4 linked regions of the Daphnia pulex genome follow. The protein of the gene in region 1 purifies or fractionates together with the protein of each later gene. This does not show direct contact. Links are inferred from orthologs where the notes say so. Each region holds a gene or a part of one and is shown on either strand. Other genes may lie near its edges.

Region 1 (4,058 bases):
CTCGAATCTGGAAGAGATGGATTCATCGGGTGGAAGAGAAAGGCGACGGAGATCAGGGATGGGAATGGATCAAGAAAGTATGTGTGTTTGGACGCTGCGCACAAGTCCAAGTGCCGTCGTCGGATTCAACCCCCACTCCTCCTTCCCTTCCTCTTTTTCCTCCCTCCTGACGTGATCAATACCTGAGCTACAGATTCCCCCATGCCCTATTTCAACCCCGCCAACGCATGTACAGCTGTGCAACCCCCCACCCATTTGCAATCGTCGCAAAAAGAAACAATTCACTTCCAAATGAACTCACTATCAAATTTTACCACCTGATATCTGCCTCTCATACGAATGCTACTGTTTGGATAAATTAGGGTCAGACTGCTGCATGTCACACAAGATTACTCAAGGTTTACTAGGCAGGATGGTATAAAAAAACCTGTGCTAATTATGAAACGAAGAGAGGAATTTTGAGAACATGCTTTGATTATGAAGGTGTCATGTTTCACCATCCAGAACTTTTATGATTGTGCAACACAGCGGTCTCCTTACCTTGAAATGAACGGATAGCTGCAGTACACACAAAGCAGTAGGAGCGAACTGGAAAATTGTGTCTAAAATGTCACTGAAAAATGGCTGTTTCAAGGAAACTCAGGATTCTTCAATAATTATTGAAAACGAAGGATGTCCCCACACGCACTCGACCCCCCTTTGGGTTCTTCAAAGCAAGTGACACAGATGGTGTAGCCCACACATATCACAATATGAAGAAAAACAAGGTTTCCACAGCTATTTGTAGAAAAAATAAATTGCACTTCACGAAGTTCGGTCTGGAATTCCTCTCTGATAGGCCGCAGATTCAAACTTTAATTTCAAACAGACAATAAACTGTCATGAAACGTAGATAATGTTAGTGTCACAAAAACTCGTTGCCTTTTCACTCGGTAGCCATATTGGAATAAACTGAAAACACCAGAGAAAAGAAGACTGGAGACCCGCAGACGAGGGAATTTTACAGCCCTGAAACTAGCGCTGTTTCAGACATAACGGCCACATAATAATATAGTGAAACACCAACTAAATTAAATAAATACATTGGCCTATGGAATTTGTAGTTAAATGAAATCGATAAAATATCATACAAATTTATATTAAGCATTCTGCATTCATTAAAGAAATACATGAAAATTTGAAAAATTTGAAAATCAAGTCTAAAACTTTGAGTTGCAATTTCCCTGATTTTATTATTTCGAAAACTGCGTTCAAATATTTTTAACAAGTAATTTAAAAAAATATATTAGACTTTGATTGTCTTTTCTCTTTCGACTTAAACGGTTTAAGTTATCCAAAGTTTTCATTAAACCATTCAAGGAGGCGCTGCTATCGTTTGACGAATACCCAGTCTCATTTTCTCTCTTACGTTGTAAATCGAAATATCGAATCGAAAGTTTGAAAGTTAGGTATCGATTCTAGTCCAAGCTTTTTTGACAAGTAAACAACGTAAATCGTACATTCGTACGTGAATTGTCTTGTCAAATTTAAAATTTGGGCCGAAAAATGGTTCCGGGTAAAGGTAATATCTCCAAAGGAAAAGGAGCTACAAATGTCAAAGGTTCAACGTCAGCCACTAAAGTCAAAAGGGAAAGAGTTTCAGAACCTGAGGACTCAGATGAAGAAGTTACTCTAGCTGATGTCCGAGCTGTCGACTATGGAAAGGTTTTACCTCGTTTCACATCCAGTAAGAACTAATTTTTTTTGTTTTTCTGTTGGTTTTCTAATTAACAAAGATATAAATATAATCAATTGTTTATAGTTACGGCTAGATCAGAAGAAGGGGGTGTTATGATGGATGATTTGGACACCTTACAAATGGAACTAGAAACACTACTCAATTGTGTTGTTTTGCGTTCCTTAAATTTACAGAGAGAAATTGCAGGAATGACTGAAAAGGTATTCATCAAAGTTTTTTTTTCATCTTGTGTCTATTTTCTGTTTGCCAACAACACTATGTGTTTTTTTTTAGCCTCCATCTCCTGGAAAACGATCAAAACAAGAAGAGCGTTCACCTAAAAAGTTCAAAGATCAACCAGGAAAGCTTAGAGATGCACACACACCTCCACTTTTAAAGCAGATGAAAATTAAATCTGCTCTAGCTGTACCTAGTTTCATGAAAAGTAGTTTTATTTACAGTCAAGTAATGATCTCTTTGATTTTATAGAAGCCTATCCCACCAGAAGGAGTTGTTGAGGAAATGCCTCCTTTAGAATTAATGAAGACATCAACTGCCAAAAATGATACACCAAACAAATTTTGGGCTTCTGTAGAACCATACTGTGCTCTTTTTACAGATGATGATTTAAAGGTAAAATGATTTGTATAAGATTAACATAACTTGGAATTAAATTTTTTTTCTTGTGGTAATTGATGTTTTAACTAAAGCTAGTAGAAGAACTAATCTCAACTCATAATGAGGATGAAGAATACCTCAAAATTCCTCCTCTCGGTCGCCACTATACACTTCGGTGGGCAGAAGATGATTTACTTCAGGAGCAAAGAGAGGGCTCTCGTTTCGGCGAGAAAAAGAAGATTACCTCTGGATCTTCTGTAGGAACGGAAGAGGCTCAAAGATTAATGGACACAGCAGCTAAAAACAAGTAAAAAATTAATATTTTTTTTTCTAATAGCCGCATATTGCTTAACGATAGATTTAATAACTCAGTGCTGAAACAAATACTACATCTGCGACGGGGATGTGCGGACCCATGACCCAGCGTCTCATTTCAGCTCTTTTAGAAGAAAATATTGTAACTTCTGTGCAGGACACAATGGAATCAGAAGGGCAAGGTATATTGTTCATTGTTTTCCTGTTTAAAACTAATGCCAACTAGCGGTTCGAAATTACTGTAACAGACGAAAACGCGAAATCTACTGGCACGAAGGCAGCAATGAATGGACCTCAAGCTGCTGCACTTGAACGTCGTATTCGTCAAGAGTTAGAAGAACAAGGCATTTTAACTTCCGAAGAAGCCAACGTTAATTCGGTAATTTATTCATTCAAAACACATTTCAGAGGTAGTATTATTAACCCCCTGATTAAGGCCGATGATGAAATATTGACGGAGTTACGTCGATGCCAAGGAGAATTGAGGGCCATATCACTGCACAACTTGAAACAACTGAAACGACTGTACCGCCTCAGTCAAGAAGAAATGAAACGTCAGGAAATACGGAAAAAATTGATTGCAGCGGACGCTGAGGTATTCATTTTTCAAGTGTCATCTCTGCTTATCGAGCTCGTCTACATTATTCCCAACTTCTTTTGAATAGGTATTAGACGTATATCGTAAAATGGCTGCCGCTAAACAAAAAAAACGCCCGTTAAGCAAAAAAGAAAAAGATCAGATGTGGAAAATACTTCGTGATCGTGAAGCGATTGTCAAACAGCTGGACACGGGAACGACTAGTATGTAAATATTTTTTCAAACAATACAAGACGTGTGTGATGAAGATGAACTAAGATGGTTAATTGAACTTTGCATAACAATATAAACTTTTAACAAGCCTTGTTTATTACTTAAATCAATTAGCATGTATTCAACAATGAAAAGTTGAGGTTACTTGAAGTTGATAAGAATTTAATAAGAATTCTTTCAACTTCTCCAAAACTGAGGATTCAATTCTAGTTTTCTAATAAAGTTAGTGTACCAGTTTCTTAAAACAGACATTGGGATGAAACTTTCTGATGGATTTGGTGTCATTTGTGATTGAGTAACAGCAAAACTTGCTGCATAATTGAAAAGATTTTGAAGAGTACGTTCAGCAAACTCCTGGAATGTTGTGGTGCTACTAGGCTCTGTAATGGCACTAGGAGATTGATTGGAAATGAGGCTAAGAGGCTCAATTGAAATCCCTATTTGAGCATGATGATGTATTTCCCCCTGGTGCACCCCAAACATACTAGGGCTATAACTTCCCGGATTCTTCTTCAAGCCAGTGATTTTGTAAATGCTTGACGGTTTGTTATTGGTGAGGTTACCTAGTAGTTGCCACACTGGTGGGGCTGATAGATC
Region 2 (4,347 bases), on another chromosome or scaffold:
CTGTACGAAACGGAGCCGTTTATGGACAACAGGATTTCTGTCGACCAACGAGTCAAGGTACTTTTTAAAGCTCTTCTAAATTGTATATTTGTAAATTAATTTACTTATTTTTTCTCTACTCAGATTGTCGATCCCAATCAAGTCTACGATACCATTAATCTGGGCCGACGAATTGATGTTCTCTGGCCAAGTCCAACAATTCGTAACCAAGGTGGAAAATCTTATTGGAAATCATGGCTTCCCGAAGTGGGTATGGAAGGACAGGTAAGAAAACTATACGCGATGGGTGAATAGTTTTCCTTTTACTGTACTTTGTGTTTGATTAGGTGGTACATCGTTGGGTGCCTAATCATCCAGATTCGCGACAAAGATCGCACGTGGATCGCGTCATCCTTCTCTTGAAAATAGACGATAAATACGTCCCAATCGCCGAATCGGCGGTCGAAATTGCATCATTGGTTAGTGTCAACATCGGGGATTCTATCGTCGTTAATGATACTAAGCTTAAAACCCAGGGAGTTGCTGATTGAAATTCCCAAACGCCGCAGTGTTTTTTTTTCGAGTCCATTAGGCTCATCGTTGTAATATGAAACGGTATTTTGGTTTGAATGTGAACCCCGAAATTTGTTCACGAACCTTGTTTTGTAAATAATGTTTGTGTTATGCGGAAATGCTATGTGTTATTTGACATTGACTAGGAAAAACCACTGTGATTTGAAAACATTGTCAATAACGTTTACCGAGTTTTTCAAATGTCGAATGAAATTTGAAATTGAGTAATTCGAAACAAATAAACTTTTGGATTGTTTGTAGTCTAGGAACTATATATTTAGATTTTTCCTTATTCAACTACCGCACCCGCCTCATAGTTACTGTTAATTATTAAAATCACGAAAATTCCCGTGTTAGTAGTGACACAAGGAGTGATGGTGAGAAAGTAAACACTTAACAGTCGCATAGAGGAGTGACTCCAGTAGCATAAGAATGCGCCTGTCATTTTATTTGGTGTCTGATAGAAAAACTTGTCGGATTTTTAAATAACAATAGCAGGGGTATGGAGAGAAAGATATCTCCATAAATCTCTCCATACCCCTGACAATAGTATGCCGGTATGCACATAGTTTGAAATTTGAATATTATGAAATTGTTGATTATGAAAGAATCGGTGAACGAATACGATCGCTCTGATACGATATAGATGTTATACCCTTGAAAAAGTAGTAGTCTAGAAAAAAATCGTGCGCAGTTTACGCCGATGCGCACCACAGCGGCAGATAGCAGAACTAAACTTTTTTTTACGCTTGACTACCTGTCTACTTCAAGTCCTTTGTTCGACAAGCAGTCGGTTCTCGTCTCGTTTCTTGAAGTAGACAGGTAGTCAAGCGTAATAAAAAGTTTAGTTCTGCTATCTGCCGCTGTGGTGCGCATCGGCGTAAACTGCGCACGATTTTTTGCTAGACCACTACTTTTTCAAGGGTATAACATCTATACACAATACACATAAAGTTGCATAGAATATTTGCATCGTTGTTGGCTTCTTGCAGATAAGGGGGCATAAAATTAATGTATATATTTTGCGCGCAAGAAAAACTCCGCGCATATTACAATTTTTGAATTTTTAAAAAATACGCTTTAGTCTCTTTATGTCATTGCCACTTCCCACTTGCCAGTGCCAGCAGACGACCAGTGACCAGACGCTTTTCTGATTGCCGAGCCTCTGTCACAGTTTTACAGACACATAGTCAACGCATAAGAAGAGCGTATTGCTAATCAAGATTACTACTCAAAGTTAAATTTACTTTTGCGGTGACAACTAATTAACATATATTTTTTTATTGATTGTTACATGTCAACAAATCTGGTTAAAATTATAGTCAGGGATGCTGTAGTCTTGACCTTGATCAATGGATGAAGTAGTTATTCGGATTCTGTTCTTTGCAAAGGCCAGAGAGTTAGTTGGAAAAGATTTTGACAATATTTCACTTTCCAGAACAACTTCAAGAATCACTGGGGCAAATCTTTTGTGCATCATTACAGAACAATTTCCAGCTCTAGAATCCATATCAAAGAACATTGTCCTAGCTGCTGATGAAGAATATGTTGAATTTGATCAGCTTATAGACATTAAAAATTGCAAGGAAATTGCAGTGATCCCACCATTAAGTGGTGGCTAGGTCGCTAGGATTCTTCATAAGCAGTGTGCTACAGCTTAATTCGCCAGAGCCCTTCAATTGTATTTTAAAATGGATATTATTAACTTAGTTGAAGAACAGCTTGATGTGAATTCAATCTACTCTAAAGTGGTTGAACATTCTACTGGAGCTGTGTCATTATTTGTGGGAACAACAAGGAATAATTTTGAAGGAAAGAAAGTAATGTCAATTTGAATAATCTAAAGTCAAATATTTCTAAATCAAATTTGCTTTATATTTAAGGTGATTAGTCTAGAGTATGAAGCTTTCAAGCCAATGGCATGTAAAGAAATCAAGAAAATTTGTGAGAATATTAGAGAAAAATGGAAGGTTAAACACATTGCATTCCACCATAGGTATAATTTTTTTTTTTACCATACTGTAGTTATAATGAGGAAACTTAAGAAACATTTTTTTGTTTGTTTGTTTGTTTTAATTACCTATTTTTCTTTCCAGATTGGGAGAAGTTCCGGTTGGTGAAGCAAGTGTTGTAATAGCTGTTTCATCCGAGCATCGAGCCGAATCTTTAGAGGCTGTTCAATTTGGGATTGACGCGCTTAAGAAGTCTGTACCAATTTGGAAGAAAGAACTTTATAGTGATGGTGCTCCTGAATGGAAAGCCAACAAAGAATGCCTGTGGACAAGTAAAAATTAAACAAATAATGCTTAGTTGTTCCTATTTGTTGTATGAATTTTGAATTCATAACAGTACTGATTCTTAACAAGTAACACAAATATTGAACCTTAATCGATTTTCCGATATCAGAACAATATTTGAAATGGTTTCCAGTACTTTTCATTAGTTAAAAATCGGAGCATGAACGTTAGTTTGGCTGTAGTTTCAATCTTACTAAAGTGATAATATCTACGTAGTGCTGTCAAGTCTGACATTTAAAATATAAGGTTTTTAAGGGTTTTTAATTCTCTTTTTATTTTTTAACTAAGCAATGTTAACATTCATTTTACTTATTATCCAAGTACTTTCCAGTTCCCAACGCTTTCCAATCTTTGCCCTTTCATTATATAATAACATATACTGTGTGATTCTAAAGATGAGTAGCTGCAATGCTGCATTCTACGCACTGCTTCAATCTATTAGACGTTTTCGTGTGGTTCGACAGCTTTGCTGCCTATAAGCTTTAAGCTAATTATCTGACGGAATAGGGACAACCACACATAGACGTCCTTTATTTAGTATTTAGTTGTGACTTCTGCATTTGTTCCCTTCACTGCCGCGTACGTCATTTGATTATTTGGCTTATAGAAGTATGGCTTAAAGAAAGCACAAGCGTTCAGAAGTTTTTATTAGTCAAAATTAAAAAAAATAAGTACGAAAATATTCTAATCTTGTTAGGTGGGGAAATTCGGGATTTGAAATTTTTTATTTCCATGAGAATGAGTTGTTGGAATATTTGCTTGATGTGATAGATGCTTAATAGTCAATAGCATGTTTTGAATTGATATAGATCAAGAAGAAGACGCTAGTCTATCTAAAAAGAGGAAAATAATGGTGGACTATGCAGCTGCCGATTGCGTTCAGATCAAGGCTTCAAATTTAGAGGTATTGTTGATCCGTTTTACTTTTATCAAGTCTTTTCTCAATAAATATTTTAAATGTTTTTAATTTTTCAGTTGGGAAAACGAATTACTGCGTTTATGGAACGGAAACGATCAGAGTCGGACGTATTCAACGTTCAGGAGTTCTGTCACAGACTACCATTAAACGAATTAGAGAATTCATGTGCTCGCACAGAGGCAGTGCTTGTAAGCAGAAAAGATAGTAAAAGTCATCTAAAGGGTAAAATTATTTTATTTTAAGGATTCAACGCTGATTACTGATTTCTTTACGTTTTAGTGTCGAGATGCGTAAATATGTGGGGACCACAAACACACTCTGAAGTTCCGGCTCCATCTTCAGTAAACACCAAATTGAATCCGACTCCTGCTATCCAAGAACGGCTACAAAATATGGAAAAACACTTGGGTTTTAATTCAAGAGAACAACCTATTCCACTGGATGTGTACGGACGCTTGAAAGCCCTTGAAGATAGAATCCTTCATTTGGAAAGCATTAGTCCTGAATATTTCGACGGACCGTTTAATCTTCAGAATAATAAAGAAGATGAAGATTTGATATCAAAAATTGAACAAAAAA
Region 3 (3,340 bases), on another chromosome or scaffold:
CTCCGAAATGTGCAGCCTTACTAAAGATACTTTCCAAATGAGCCACTGTTGAAGCAGTAAATCTAACAAATGTATTCTCTAATCCATAGAAACAAAGACTAAGAACCTAGTAAAATAAATGAATGTGGTTAAGAAATTTCTTCATGACATTATAAGAAACACTGTTTTACCTTGAGAAGGTTAAGATTGTTTGGATCGGAATTTAGGTGTTGCTCTTGGAATTTTATGAACTGGATGATACATGTGTTAATTACATCCTTTGATATTGTAGACCAATCCTTTTCTCCCGAACAGTTGGTAAAATTGCAGAGAATTTTCAGAATGAGAACTGTTTGATTATTGATTTGTTGTTCTTCATTCAATTTATTGATCAAGAATCCAGAAGGACTAAGCACTTTCTCCAAAGCCTAATTTAGTAATTTCAATGGGAAACATTATTGTTCAAAATTTTTCATTCATTCCCAGTTTCAGACCTACTTTAGTTTGTTTAACTTCTTTGAAGTTGACTGCCACAGCAAGACAATTGAAAATGTCAGTAAATATTAAATGATTTTCATTCTTAAGGGATTTTATAATCCAATCAATTAATTGCTCTGATGCTTGACTTGTTAAGTGTACATTTGGAAGTTGTAAAACTTGTTCCCATATTTGACAAGTCTTGGCAACTTTAAAAGATTCTTCATGTTTCACAATTTTTAAAACATCTGATACTAAAATTACAGAATCCTATAAACATAAGATTTTAAACAGTGAAATGAATATAACTTTTATGGAATCTTACTTGAACATTGACTGACGACGATTCCAATTCTTTCCTTTTAAGATCGAAGAAAAGGGTGTTCAGATTATCCAAGAAATTTGTTATTTCTTCCGGATTTGCATTTTTCTTATCTAACAATAGGTTGAGCTTTTCTCGAACCCCTGTCAGATAATTTGTGTCTAATGATTTAAGTTGAGAAAGAGCCATGACTCTATCTCGATTGTCACACTTTGTTTACAAATTGAAGGTCCTTGATTTTTTCGACATTTTCGTCTGCTATGTGTCGACGAAGTACCGAAGGCATCCGCTTGGTTTTTTTTTTTCTTAATTGAAAAATGTTTAAGATTAATGAAAGCGTGGTTCATTCAAAAGTTCATAAAAAATAAAGATTTTTTTTTCCTTACTAAATTTTGGGAAAAAAATTGAAATAGTTTCAAAATTAGCTTTGGCATTGAGGCAAATTCAAATATGTCTAGCTAGGCTAGCAGACTACCACACAATACCTTCTTTTAGGGTTCAGTTCAGACTTCAAACAATAACAAATGGAGTTTTAGAAAACACCGGTTGATATTACTATTTGGTACACGAATTATACCAACACAACTGATATTTTGTAAAAATTAGCAAAATTCTCAATCTCCTAAAAATGCCAGCTGCTGATGTATCCACTAATTCTTCCACCGATGGATGGTACATCTTGGGTAAGTTCATATTAACGACCAACAATGTCAACATTTCCTAACTACATTTAATTCGACATGTTTAGAAATCCAAAAAATGATGTATGGATTTGGCGACAGCAAATATTCGCTGAAAGAAACTGCTGAATTAGTAGAGAAAATTGTGAAGGAACAACTAATTCAGTTCCTGAATGCACTGTCTGAGGTTGCTGTTAAAATTAACTCAAAGAAAATTGGTATCAAAGAATTTCTAGTCTTACTTAGGTAGGTAACCTTCAGTTTAACAATATCTCAAGTTATTCAATATATTGAAGTGATTTCTGTTAAATTAGGCACAGTCCAGTTAAACTGAGAAGATTTTGCACCTATTTACAAGCCAGTGGGTTTAAGGATTTGGCAAAAGAAGATGATTTGCCTAAAGACATAATGACTGAATTTTCTGATCTTCACACTGGAAATAAAAAACTGAATTCTGCTCTTGCATTCCTACAACACCTTGATCCATCATGTTATCTGTGTAATGTGGCAGATCCATCTAAACCTTTCCTGTTACCTGATGATGCCCTCAAGGAACGAAATGAAAGGATTGAGAGAATGACATTAGCCATGGAGAAGGGGCAGTACATTGAATATTCTCAAGTATTTTGATTCAACCTAACTGCTTTTTCAAAATCTAGATTTAACAGAATTGTTTTTGTCAGGCCAAATCTACCTCATTTAAGAGAGGCCAGCCTTCTGGTAAATTTCAAGATTGGTTACTTAAAGATTCTCCAGCTCCTGAGGTTGCTTTAAGTGCGACAGCTTGGTCTATTCTCAGTTACTTTGCTTACGAAACCATCGCACAAATAGTAGATCTGGCCTTCATAGTACGAAGAGACAATATGGCTGGGCAAGTGAGTGACGCAGTTCAACGTAACACTGCACCAAGAGTATCTCCAGCGAATGCTGATTTGTTCAAGGTAAAAGGATTAAAATGAATGTTACAATAATTATAATCATTCTTTAAAACAAAATTTCCGTATTTTTAGCCGACATGGTCAAATTCGATGAAACCTCTTCAAACAGCGGAAGTCTCTGAGGCCATCAGACGGTTCAACAATACACACAACTCAATTTTTTCTCCATTCCGAAGAAATGGTGTTCCTCCTCCTGGACATCGACTTCTGGCACTGTAATTTAAACGTACTGCAAGGGCTTCAAATTCAATATGGCGAAAGCTGCGTCGTAAATTGTTAATATCACTTTCAACATCCAAATTCGTGCGTGCATTGTTGGATGCGATCGGTTGTGTTCATCCTAAAAATAGGAAACTTTAATGTAAAATTGTATGCAAGAAACCTGAATAAAGAATACTCACACATAGGGTGCGAACTGAACTGTAGTAATGGGAATAATCCTGCGATAAAAATAGCAAAAATCGCCATAACTCTGAAGTTATCTTTGCGATGCGAGTGAGTGAAAATTTGTTCAGCATAGGAACAAATCCAGCAATATATTTGGAGGTGATTTCAATTTCTGCTTTATGCTTCAGCAACTTAAAATTGGTCGTATCCAAACTTGGCAGTGGAGGGTAAAGTGAGCAATCCACTCCATCAGAAAATTTTTGAAGTATACAGGCAACCCTACTTCTGTTGTACAAAACCTTTATTGCTTCTAAAATAGAAATGAAAAATTCAATAATTAGTTATTAAAAAGGAACCATGATTTTGGTAAACTGAATACCTCTGAATTGAGGATCAATTTCTAGTCCAGCTAGTCCTACCGCATGCATTGGTTTTGTGGTGTCATTGTGCAAGAAATCATAACTGATAACAGCCTCTGTGATCCATGCTTCAGACATACTTTTACCTTCCGTTGGATGCCTGGATTTAACATGCAACTGTCGTAGCCTTCAAACACA
Region 4 (2,866 bases), on another chromosome or scaffold:
CGACTATTGGCTTGTCCAGTATCAGCGTCTAATCGATAACATGCCTGATAATATTCAACATGCACAACAGTATCTTCCAAGTGCGCCTTCCTCTGTACTCGATGATGAGGAGGTGGCATCCGCTCCTCCGATGGAAGTTTTTATGGAAACTAATTGCGTCATATGCTTGGACAGTTCAGTAAGCTTACATTTATTACAGTTCAATTTTTCAAAACGAATTCATTCTAATTGCATTTATATTAAACAGTGCCAAGTTATATTCCTTTCTTGTGGACACTTATGTTGTTGTTCTGGATGTGGCAACAAGCTAAATCAATGCCCAATGTGCCGGGCAACCATCGTTAAACGACTGCAGGTTCACTCATAATGTTATTTATTTGCTTTTTAGCTTTTCATCGGTCATATCTTTGTGCCTTTGGCATCCTAAAAAAAATGTTTTCTTCATTTTTATCTTGTCTGTTGCTACTGTCGTTTCGAGACGTAAATCACACTTTAATTTTCACAGTATACAAACTATTTGAGGTCGTGTTTTTTTTTCTTTTATTAATTTTTTTGTCGTGCGAATACAAATTTTATCACACATTTTTTTGTCATTTAAGATCATTCATCCACTTCTTCATCCTCATTCTCCTTTTCATTTTCATTATCATTTTCATTGTCATTTTCATTATCATTTCCATTATCATTTTCTCCACCTTCATCTGATCCTTCTTCAATATCTTCCGGTTTTTTGTCGGATTTTTCCTGTTTCCGTTTAGCCATAGCTTCTTTGCGTTCCTTCTGTGCTTTCTTGTACACTGTAAAAGAAAAGAACATGTTGACATTCTAAAAATTGTTTTGAAAAAGAGAAATTACCTTCAAGAGAAGCCTGTAGTGGTTCAATAAATCTTTCAAATTCCATGTCAGCCATTGCTCCCAGGACATCCGGGCCACTGATGATCTTTATTTAACAAAAAAATTTTAGTAAATAATTGAGAGAATGGAACAAAATTTTCTGATTCTGTGATTCACCTTTCTGTTAGCTTTCATAGCCAGATTGTTAGAGCATGATGTGCAATAGAGAACAAATACAGAAGCAGCTTTAGCAATGGCGGTTCTAGCCTCTTTAGACACATTAACACCTTCTGGCAAGGATTCTTTTATGATTCTTGCTACTATTGAGTTGGGAAGGTTTAAGTCTTCAGGTCGTTCTGCCATTGCTTACGTACCTGGGAAAATCAAAACAAAATTCCTGTCATCAGCTAGATACATTAGTTGAACAAAACATATATTTCATCATATGAATTCTATTCAAATCAATAAAGAGAGAAAATGTCACTTATTATTTCAAATAATAACACCATTTAGTCATTTCCAAGAGATTTCTAGAAACTTTTTAAAAAATTAACTACACTTGTTACAAGATTTTCATAGGAAAAAGAAAACATCCTACCTGTCAAAACTTCTCCTACAATAATTTATTTCCGATTATACCGAAACCAACACTCCGACACTTGAAAACTTCAGATTTTTGCTGAAACAAATACACAGTCACAGTTGATGATTTCGATGTTGCTTCTGCTACAATAAAGGGCGGGAAAATAAGAAGTGCCAAGACCACATCGCCATCTGTGAGTAATATTCTAACCGTTTGCACAAATAAGTTTTTCGCCCCCGTTAGACCAGCAGTCGCGAGTCGCATAATAAAGAGGCGTATGATAAAGATAAATAATAATTTTTTTTATGTAGCACGAAGAAGATAAGCAGATCTTAATATATGAACAGACAAGATATAGGTTAAATATCAAACTAGTGAAATATCAATTTTATTACACCAATATTTAGTATTTACAGTACATTGTTGCTTCAGCAGCTTAGATTGGTTATTCTAACTTGAACCGATTTTGTTTTACTAGTATTATTTATTGTATCTTGAACAACACTTGGATGTTAAAACAAATCGACATGAAAATTTTAACAATCGTGATCACTTCTGTTCTTATTAGATTCAATAACGATTTTGACGGAATGGATGGAGATCACCAAATATGACGTACGCAAAAGACGGCAAAAGATCGTTAGACTTGTCGTTAGATAGTGTCAAGAGCGGCATGTGTAATAGGATAACAAACTTTCCTCCTTTTCGCCAAGCCACTCTACATCTCCGAGTCAAAGGGACCCAAACTTCCTTTAGCAGCCAAAAGTTAGATTTCCATCGATGCTAATCTTACAAGGGAATGACTGTTGTGTGTACCTGAAAACTTTTGAATGGATAATCGCTTGCTATACACCCGTATATAGCCTATAGGGAATAATAGATTGCCAAACGCCGAAATTACGAGAAGTTAGATTATTGATTTGCGACTCTAACTTTCACTTATAAAATTCGTTTCTCGGAAACCTCCTACCATCCCCAGTCGCCTACAAATCAGGTCATGGAATTCAAGACAAGTTTGATCCAAAGATATATTTTCAAATCCTACACAAAGTGTGAGAGTCGGGAATCAGAGAAAAGGCAGGATATGCCCCGGGATACTACTCATCCACTCCGACTCCAGGCAACGGATACAAAACTGATATACGCTGTGTCGCTGTCTACCATTGGCCCCTTCAGACCTACATCCGCCCACATCGGAAACTGTAAATCAGACGTGGATGGAAAAACAAAAAGTTGAAGAAATAAGTCTGACGCTCTTTTGAATGAGACGGATAAATGAACAAGTTTTGCTTACTCCCAAGTTTCTCTATAAATAAATAACAACAATTTAAGAAACAAATCTCTACTAAAATAATGGTTCATCTTTTTTTTTAAATAGACTAGGTAATCAAACTGTCTTTAATCATCGTTAATTTCATATATAATTTTTCCGATCTCAAAATTTTTCAA

The links.
Region 2: the proteins of transcriptional adapter 3-B-like (region 1) and molybdopterin synthase catalytic subunit-like purify together in Drosophila melanogaster (affinity purification with mass spectrometry; 3 studies listed by BioGRID). This does not show direct contact. The link is inferred for Daphnia pulex from reciprocal best matches to the Drosophila melanogaster genes Ada3 and Mocs2B.
Region 3: the proteins of transcriptional adapter 3-B-like (region 1) and transcription initiation protein SPT3 homolog purify together in Drosophila melanogaster (affinity purification with western blotting; 3 studies listed by BioGRID, with this or other methods). This does not show direct contact. The link is inferred for Daphnia pulex from reciprocal best matches to the Drosophila melanogaster genes Ada3 and Spt3.
Region 4: the proteins of transcriptional adapter 3-B-like (region 1) and DNA polymerase epsilon subunit 3-like purify together in Drosophila melanogaster (affinity purification with mass spectrometry; 3 studies listed by BioGRID). This does not show direct contact. The link is inferred for Daphnia pulex from reciprocal best matches to the Drosophila melanogaster genes Ada3 and Chrac-14.

The regions. Positions count from the first base shown.
Region 1 is NC_060019.1:11,487,522-11,491,579, reverse strand, and holds transcriptional adapter 3-B-like, read left to right. Parts: upstream 1-1,393; 5' UTR 1,394-1,545; coding exon 1,546-1,726; intron 1,727-1,801; coding exon 1,802-1,938; intron 1,939-2,011; coding exon 2,012-2,143; intron 2,144-2,206; coding exon 2,207-2,350; intron 2,351-2,427; coding exon 2,428-2,642; intron 2,643-2,707; coding exon 2,708-2,832; intron 2,833-2,898; coding exon 2,899-3,029; intron 3,030-3,086; coding exon 3,087-3,245; intron 3,246-3,315; coding exon 3,316-3,459; 3' UTR 3,460-3,549; downstream 3,550-4,058. Other genes in the region: protein OPI10 homolog, read right to left, coding at 3,639-4,058.
Region 2 is NC_060026.1:10,881,532-10,885,878, reverse strand, and holds the start of molybdopterin synthase catalytic subunit-like, read left to right. Parts: upstream 1-1,517; 5' UTR 1,518-2,243; coding exon 2,244-2,372; intron 2,373-2,435; coding exon 2,436-2,548; intron 2,549-2,648; coding exon 2,649-2,836; intron 2,837-3,658; coding exon 3,659-3,753; intron 3,754-3,824; coding exon 3,825-3,990; intron 3,991-4,047; coding exon 4,048-4,347. Other genes in the region: pecanex-like protein 1, read left to right, coding at 1-57, 124-264, 327-530. UniProt on the Drosophila melanogaster protein: Catalytic subunit of the molybdopterin synthase complex, a complex that catalyzes the conversion of precursor Z into molybdopterin.
Region 3 is NC_060027.1:750,320-753,659, reverse strand, and holds transcription initiation protein SPT3 homolog, read left to right. Parts: upstream 1-1,242; 5' UTR 1,243-1,406; coding exon 1,407-1,461; intron 1,462-1,526; coding exon 1,527-1,704; intron 1,705-1,772; coding exon 1,773-2,079; intron 2,080-2,141; coding exon 2,142-2,399; intron 2,400-2,438; exon of another isoform or gene 2,439-2,468; coding exon 2,469-2,615; 3' UTR 2,616-2,616; coding exon of another isoform or gene 2,617-2,736; 3' UTR 2,737-2,797; downstream 2,798-3,340. Other genes in the region: HEAT repeat-containing protein 6-like, read right to left, coding at 22-106, 171-407, 478-726, 782-967; DALR anticodon-binding domain-containing protein 3-like, read right to left, coding at 2,617-2,736, 2,798-3,093, 3,163-3,329. UniProt on the Drosophila melanogaster protein: Component of the transcription regulatory complex SAGA, a multiprotein complex that activates transcription by remodeling chromatin and mediating histone acetylation and deubiquitination. The SAGA complex predominantly acetylates histone H3.
Region 4 is NC_060025.1:6,579,740-6,582,605, forward strand, and holds DNA polymerase epsilon subunit 3-like, read right to left. Parts: upstream 1,581-2,866; 5' UTR 1,433-1,580; intron 1,232-1,432; exon of another isoform or gene 1,209-1,231; 5' UTR 1,198-1,208; coding exon 1,012-1,197; intron 941-1,011; coding exon 856-940; intron 798-855; coding exon 601-797; 3' UTR 524-600; downstream 1-523. Other genes in the region: E3 ubiquitin-protein ligase LRSAM1-like, read left to right, coding at 1-178, 248-367. UniProt on the Drosophila melanogaster protein: Accessory component of the DNA polymerase epsilon complex. Participates in DNA repair and in chromosomal DNA replication. Histone-like protein which promotes nucleosome sliding of ATP-dependent nucleosome remodeling complexes.